Nothobranchius furzeri: one gene and its partner. The protein of the gene in region 2 interacts with the protein of the main gene of each other region in a pairwise test. Links are inferred from orthologs where the notes say so. Each region holds a gene or a part of one and is shown on either strand. Other genes may lie near its edges.

Evidence for each region.
Region 1: the proteins of zbtb10 (region 2) and mob3c interact in binary tests that used the Homo sapiens proteins (3 or more experiments, as listed by UniProt). The link is inferred for Nothobranchius furzeri from reciprocal best matches to the Homo sapiens genes ZBTB10 and MOB3C.

What each region holds. Positions count from the first base shown.
Region 1 is NC_091748.1:53,908,768-53,913,158, reverse strand, and holds the start of mob3c (MOB kinase activator 3C), read right to left. Parts: upstream 2,902-4,391; 5' UTR 2,745-2,901; intron 1,361-2,744; 5' UTR 1,206-1,360; coding exon 788-1,205; intron 113-787; coding exon 1-112. UniProt on the Homo sapiens protein: May regulate the activity of kinases.
Region 2 is NC_091759.1:533,116-536,407, reverse strand, and holds part of zbtb10 (zinc finger and BTB domain-containing protein 10), read left to right. Parts: intron 1-368; coding exon 369-434; intron 435-2,086; coding exon 2,087-2,262; intron 2,263-3,292. UniProt on the Homo sapiens protein: May be involved in transcriptional regulation.

The DNA of each region.
Region 1 (4,391 bases), on a different chromosome or scaffold from region 2:
CCCATGCTGCAGACGCTGTCAAAGTGATGGATGTAAACGTGCACGAAAACCCTGAAGAGGCGACTCAGGATTTTCTTGACCACCTGCTGGAAGTTCTTGGGGAAAGGTATGCCTAAAGTGGAAAAGTAAAGAATTGAGTTAGGGAACTTCTGCCAGAAGACCTGTTAGAGGGAAAGCCAGTCTCGTTATCTTTGTCTTTGTGCTACAGAAATGGCAACGGCATCAAGTATTTCTAGGTAATTGTGCAGTAATAAAAACTGCATGTCAAACATCATAAAACCAACTTTCATATTTAAGATAAGTGCTTTGGGTCTTGTTCTTGCCTAACCTCATGGAAAATAATTAGATCAAATACCAAATGAACAATGCTTGCTTTATAGACGATCATTTAGAAAAGTTGGAATTTTAGAGTTTTTAATTCTTCTGATCAACGTCTCCGCCTTGTTTAAAGGAATAAGCCAATAAAACCCATGTAAAATCAATGAGACAATGGGCCACAAGTACACACTGCTGTGTTCCACTCCCCTTAGGCAGAGAATTGTCCTCCCCATTAACATCAATTATAAAATCTGACATGCACCAAATATTAATGCCACTATTAACCAGGCTCATCTAAATGTCAACATCATTGTCTAATTAACCTTTTATTGAACCCAGTGATTGGATTTGAAAGCTTGGTGAAGGTGAGCAGCTTGGCTCTTCCTCTCTGAAGCAGAACACGTTATATATTTTCTTTAGTCAATAACATCAAAGATTGCTTAATAATTTGTAAACTCTTTACACACACCTATTCTGGTGGGGAAGATGTCCTCGTCATTAATGAGCGACTCGATCCAGTCCATCAGCAGAGTCATGTACTTGAGAGCGGGGAGCTTGGTGGGCTTCTTGTAGTCCTCTCCATCCTGCCATCTGTACTCGTACCTCAGTCCTCCAGACATAATGGGGCATGTGCGTTCGGTGCAGTACTCACTAACTGTGCCATAAATCAAGTTGATCCTGTTGAAGAAATCCACCACATGAACTGCAATCCAGTCGTTGAGGTTCTCTCCCTCTGGCAGCTGAACCACTTTCCTCAGGTCCAAACCCGACTTGAGCGAGGCCTGAGCCTTCTTGTAGAGTTCAAAGCGCTGTGTGCCGGGCTCAAACCGCTTCTTCGGCCTGAACGTTCTGGCTTTACTGAACACTTGACCGAGGCACAGCGCCATTGACTCGGTCGTTCCCCCTAGAATGAGGGGAGTGAAGGCTCTCCAGAGTAATGTTTGGCTTTGAGTTGGATAAAGTGGGTCCAGGCGAAATCAGGTCACAAGAGGTCAGAGTTGGTTATGGAGAGACGACAGGGAGTCCTTTAATCCAGATGTTTCTGTCAGGAGCAAAAACAGACATGTTAGGCTTTACCGTTTACCTGGTGGTCTATTATCTTTGTCAAAATTGTTATTGATAGGGTTCAATCCAGTAAAACATACTGATGCAATACATTATTAGGATATTTTGTTATAGACTCGTTTTTTTCTAAATATCAGCTTTCACAAAAAACATCTTTGTAAGAAACCACAACAGGACAAACAAGAATAACCATTACTGTCTCATTAGAGTTAAGTGACCAACATGACCTCATCAGGGGCTTTAAGTGTTTCATCCACAACCCAAAATAGCAACAATTTAACTGGAGCAACAGCTGGGCCCCAGGGAGTCAAGCCTGATTGAGAAAACAAATGCCACGCTGGGAGTCAGTAGACCAAACGACTCTCGGGAGCACAGACAGACATTCTCATCGTTCAGATTCAGCGTGGTGGCAGGATTTTAACTCCGTGTAAACACACTGAATGTGACAGCTAACGGAAAACGTTCTTTGGTGTATGGAAACTAAACCCACTGAAGCAATTACAGATTTTCTTCCGAAGCTATTAACCATCTGTTTGGTAATCTACAGCGACCGAGAGAGAAAAACCTCTCAAAAGTTCAGACTGTGTTTTTGCAGTGAGGAACTTTTCCTAAGGAGTTTATTTCAGGACTGAGTCACATTTTTCAGTTCAGTCTTTTGAACACACATGCCGCTGGCCCAAGTTTGACACACAGTCACTTCCAAGACTGTGGTTGCAATGTGAAACTATATTGGCGTTTGTGTCCTGATTCCCGTTTTGAACGGCGGTTCCGGCCATTTCCTGTTGTTTTATCTGAGACTACATGGTTCTAATGAGAAGTTTACCCTAACCCCTTTCTAGCATTTTTATACACATCAGGGACTAAACACTGAGGTTGAGATTTTGTGGTGAACTTAAATGATGAATCCTCACCCCAGAGGTGTAGTGCTTGTGTTTTGCGTCTGTTCTATTGAAGGAAAACTACAGTAAAAATTCACTGTGTGCTCGATTTCATTCATTTGATCATTCTTAATGTGCCAATTAAAAAAACTGCTACTAAATCAGGAAAAGTTAGAGTTTCTGCCGAAAAGTCAGGGGGACATGTTTCTAGTGAAACTCAAAATTTGCATCAATACAATTTATTGGCAGCAAAAGTCACAGCAAGAGGACAAAAAGTCAGCGTGCCTCAACCGCCCCAGGCTCAGGCATGTCTAATCATGTGCTCAGAATAACAGACCCTTCATGCTTGCTTCACGGGTCCTCGTGAAATCTGCCAATGTTAGTTCAAGTGAGAATAGGAAATAATAAAATAGCTGATCACGTGTTCAAGATTCAGCTGCAACAAAAACAAAACAAGAAAGGAAAAAACTGCCTCTACAGTACCTCTGTGAGATCCTACGATGGATAGTTTGGAATGTTGTTTATGGAAGTTCTGGAAGGATTAAACTCCCATGTGGAGGTCAGCTCCAGCTGCTCTGCTCCTTTATTTGTCCTAAATCTTCTTTCAATGCTAGCCACTGGCAGTCCGATGGGCTCCAACCTCACAGCGGCACACACAACACAGAAAAGAATAGAAAAAGAAAGAAGTGTTTGGCTTCTCTTCCTGTAGATGATGTCACATCCTGACTTTGTGTGCTGGCCCTCGCTGTCTGTGTGTGTGTGTGTGTGTGACCACATGTGGGTGTGTTTGTGGAGAACCTATAATTTTAAGGAAGAGAAGAGACAAAAAAGGGCCTTCCCAAACCCCGACTCTGCCCTTTCCCCCCTCTCCTTCTCTTCTTTTTTAGTAAGCAGAGCAGCCAGCCCACAGCTCCAGGCCCAACCCTCTGGTGAAAGTCCTGCATGGGAAAACAACTCCCTCTCTTGAGCAACACGTAGGACTGCCAGAGCGAAAGATACCACAGGCATTTCTGGATGTTTGACGGTCCGTATGGGCATTTTCTGCAATGTCTCAATAAGCCGTTATTAAATTCTTTGCTTTATGAAAGCTTTATGTAAACTGCTGAATTTACAGCTCAACCTTGGATAGAGAATGCATCAGAATCAGCATTTGGATCTATAAACAAGGAGCTTTTAACTGAAACCGTTTGTTCCTCTGTACCACGAGCCGGCAGCTCCTTGGATATCCACCTTTGTCAAGGAATGAATGAGCCACTGAAATGTAGAGGGTGTGTGTACAGTGAAAGCCAATATGAAACAAGCTTTTACAAGCTTTTCTTTCTAGAGTGTCCCCCCCCCACACACACACACACACCCACACACCCACAAACACACACACACACACACATGTTTGAGTCTAAATCAGTGCAGGATGACATAACATTTCAGGTTTCAGTTAGCCGTTTCTACAGCAGGCACACAGAATGAGATCAAAACTGCCTGAACTGGTTGACACCCCCCTTCCTCCCCAGTCAGGTGTGGCAGGTGGTAACTCTTCTTGTTTGTTGGAGTTTCCCAAAGCGAGTTCTCCCTGGCTGGCTTCAGTTTGGCGCTTGCTTTGGGTATTTAAATAAAGGGAGATAGTTTTTGTAAGCAGATGCTTTCAAATTCAGTGTTTTGTAAAGCTTAACCTACTACGGGTCAAAAGAAGACGTTTCTTCCCAAATCGATGCTTCCTGTGTGCGATGCTGCCTTTTTGCTCAGAGAGGTAACCTCTCAGCCGGGGCAGCATAAAGTCCTTCAAACTGGATCAGAATGCAACTTTGGCTTGAGAAAGATTTTCCAAATATCCTACCTCTAGATGCAACCGGAAGCTCACACAGTTCCCTACCAGTGCTAGACACTTTATCCCTTTTTACATGTTTAAACAAAAAAAGCCCTTAACCGCTTTCAGTTGGTCCAGAACTCTGCAGCGAGGCTCCTAACTGGAGCAAACGGACGAGCTCACATCACTCCTATTTTACTGTCTCTTGCACTGGTTACCTGTTAACTTTAGAGTTCATTTTAGAATCCTGACTATAACTTTCACTGCTCTGCATGGCCAAGCTCCTTCCTGTATTCCTGAACTGTTAAAGCTTTATGCTCCAACCA
Region 2 (3,292 bases):
CTCTCAGCACTGCTGCTTTAGGAAGAACACACACACGTACACAGGTGTACAAAAGCAGGGTGTAAGATGAGCCGGTGTGAATGCTCAGCTCTGTCATCCTCTAATTAACCCCCTCCCCGCTGGAAACCCGGTTAGCTGCGGTTAGCTTGTAGCGACGCCTCGGGACGCCAGCTGCTTTACATACAGTGGGGTTCTGGGACTTTGTGTTTGCAGAAACGTCCATTGTATTCAGTCCTGGGGGGTGGGGGGTGGTTGTGTACACAGGACATTGTGAGGTGTGCACCCCCTCCCCCTCCCCACACAGGTTCACAACCACCTCTCACCTGTCTCTCTACCTCCCCCTCTTCCCCCTTTCCCCCTTTTCCCAGAGCTGGCCAATCAGATCCAGTATAGCATCATCCAAGACTTACAGCAAGGAGAGACCTGGGAGAATGGTAAGAAGCCACTCTCTAGACTCCAGCTTGGAATGATTTATCAAAATGGTTGTATTTTTAAATAGTGTAAGCAAATTATCCCCCAATCGATCAAAAGTGACAAAAGGTTATCATTTAAGACCGTTAATGATACAAAAGGAGTTGTTAAACTCCGGGTGTCCCAGTTAACCTGGAGCGTTTAGCATCAGACGTTATGTGACCAAATAAACACGAGCCTTTATTTTCTTAACTGCTTCTTCCTTAATTATATGGTTATTATCTGTAAAATGCAAAGCGTCAATTTTTTTAGATGAATCAAAATAAGCAAAGAATTGAACGAGGATCTGTCTTTGATTCTCAAAGCTACCTGTTAGCGAGCTGCTGAGGCGAATCTTTGATTTAATCAGACATTTGGAAGAGTTCATAAATGGATTTTTTTTTGCTACTTTTAAAAAAAGTAAATCAATACTGTTCCATAAAAAGCAGAATTGATGCGTCTCTACTTTTCGTTACAATTGAATCAGTGGCTAAAAGTCCCTGCCCAGTGTAGAGAAAATGGATTAATTGGATTTAATCCTGCTTTTTAAACGTGTTTGCAGTGTTTTGTGAATTTAGCGGTAGGCTGGGTGGATGTAGTCGAGAAATAATGGAAATGATTCATACTCACTACCATTCCCCTTCTTTTTTATACTTTCATCGTGGTTTCTCTGCTCTGTCTGCGTAATAACAGACCATAAAGATCAGGTCATTTTCTGCTTAACGCTTAGAGCCTTAACTAACTGTTGCACCTCTACACGGCTGTGTTTAAAGCACACACACACACACACACACACACACACACACACACACACACACACACACACACACACACACACACACACACACACACACACACTCTTACACACACACACTCTTACACAGGTGACCTGCTTCTTATCAACCATCCCCCCCCCTTCCTCGCCCCTTGGCCGAGCCACCTTAACAACGCCTCTGTCTCAAACAAAGAGACGGCGCCCCGCTCTCTCACCGAGAAAACAAATAAAGATCTTATTTTTTTCCCTCAAAACTCACATTTGAACCCGCCTGTCTCCTTTCACACACCTTTTAGAGCGTAAATGAACAAAATCAGACGCAAATGCACCTATAGTCATACTGAAATAACGCATAAATGTGTTACTAAAGCTGTAATTCTAATAACCAGTAAAGAAAATATCCAAAACGAACTGTTATTAATGGTTATTAGTCGTAGTTTGTCATTTAAATCCTAGATTTGTGCTTCTGAATGAGAATATTTGCTGGCAAGCGTCATTGTTGGTTTCCACCATCTTTTCTGTGCAGTTATTGGTTGCTTAGCAACAGCCATAAAAGGACTTTGATGGTATTATGTGATTATTTTTTTTTTGGGCTCATCTCAGAGTTGGTGGTTTGTATTTGCACTAATGGCCACCGCATCCTAGCGCAGCCATTCGATGAACAGGATATTGGTTCCTAACACACACACACACACCCTCATCGGCTCATCTTCAAATGGAAATGTAACATTTACGACCGCTGTGATGTTTCATCTGGCCGTTACGACTGACTGGAACATCTCATTGATTTGAAGCTGAGATTAAATCCTCCGTCTCCGGCTGACCTCTCTCCCGTCTCTGTGTTTTCTCCTTCCTGCTCAGGTGAGGCCTCACACCTAGCTCTCAATAAGCTCAAGTGCCCCCACTGTAACTACATCGCCAAGCACCGGCGCACACTCAAGAGGCACCTGATCATCCACTCAGGTGTGCGCTCCTTCAGCTGTGACATCTGTGGCAAGCTGTTCACCCGCCGCGAGCACGTGAAGAGACATTCCCTGGTGAGCATGCACGCTAACCTCACTCCCTTCATTCCACACCTCCTCGTGTGTCTGGCAGCTCCGCTCAGAGGAGTGAGTGCACAGATGCAGTCTTCTGGGCTTTTATCAGGCTTTTTTTTTTTTCCATTAGGGAGTTTTGGTGGGTCACTCACAAACTGGTACAAAACTGTACTTTCTGTTCCAAAAGAGTGGGCTTCCTCTGGAAAACCTCTGAATTTGTAAAATAAATAAAAAGTTGTTGCAAAAAGTTGGATTGATCAGTTAGTTCCTTAGTGTCAGAGGTGGGAGACCAAAAAGGGGGATTTGTGAATCTCTTTTAGGTGTGATGGTGTTGTGATGGGGGGCGTGAAGCAGGATGGACCATCATGACCTTCACCTACGGTCACCAGATTTGGATATGACCTAGTGGAGATAACTCCAGCTTTCCACCAGAAGCGTAATCGTCCTATAACGTCCACGGGTTGTAGTACGTAGTTATGGCCGCCGTTAGTCGACGGGTGCGTTTCCACCGGCCATCAGACGTGTCTCACAAGTGGAGTGTTGCGTTGCTCTGCTTAATTTACTCTTTGGTTCTCATTTTTACAAGGTAGGCTTCTAGAACGAGACAAGCTCAGCCGTTCAGGTGGTTCCAGGAGAAAAAAAAAATCAAACACGAGGGCGGTGTGAAACACGTGGAAACTTTCAAAATAAAAGTCTTGTGTAGATTTCCAGTTGCTTAAAGGTGCGGAACACTGACTAATAATTTTTAATGATTATTTCTGATTCTAATGGGTCACTCTTTGTTTTTCATGTAGGCTGAACATGAAATAGTCTCCTACACCTATCTCCTGCATTAGCTTCTGATAGAAAACAGATGGTGAAACTCTAGGATTAGAACATCCTGATAGATCTACGTCACACTGTCACTAACATTCTTGGACTCACCCAGCTTTACTCACGACGAGAAAGGCTTTTGTTGGTTTAGCATCCAGGAAGCAGCAGAGAACATCTTGGCTAGTAGAAGCTACCCGTTAGCATGAGCAACGCCACC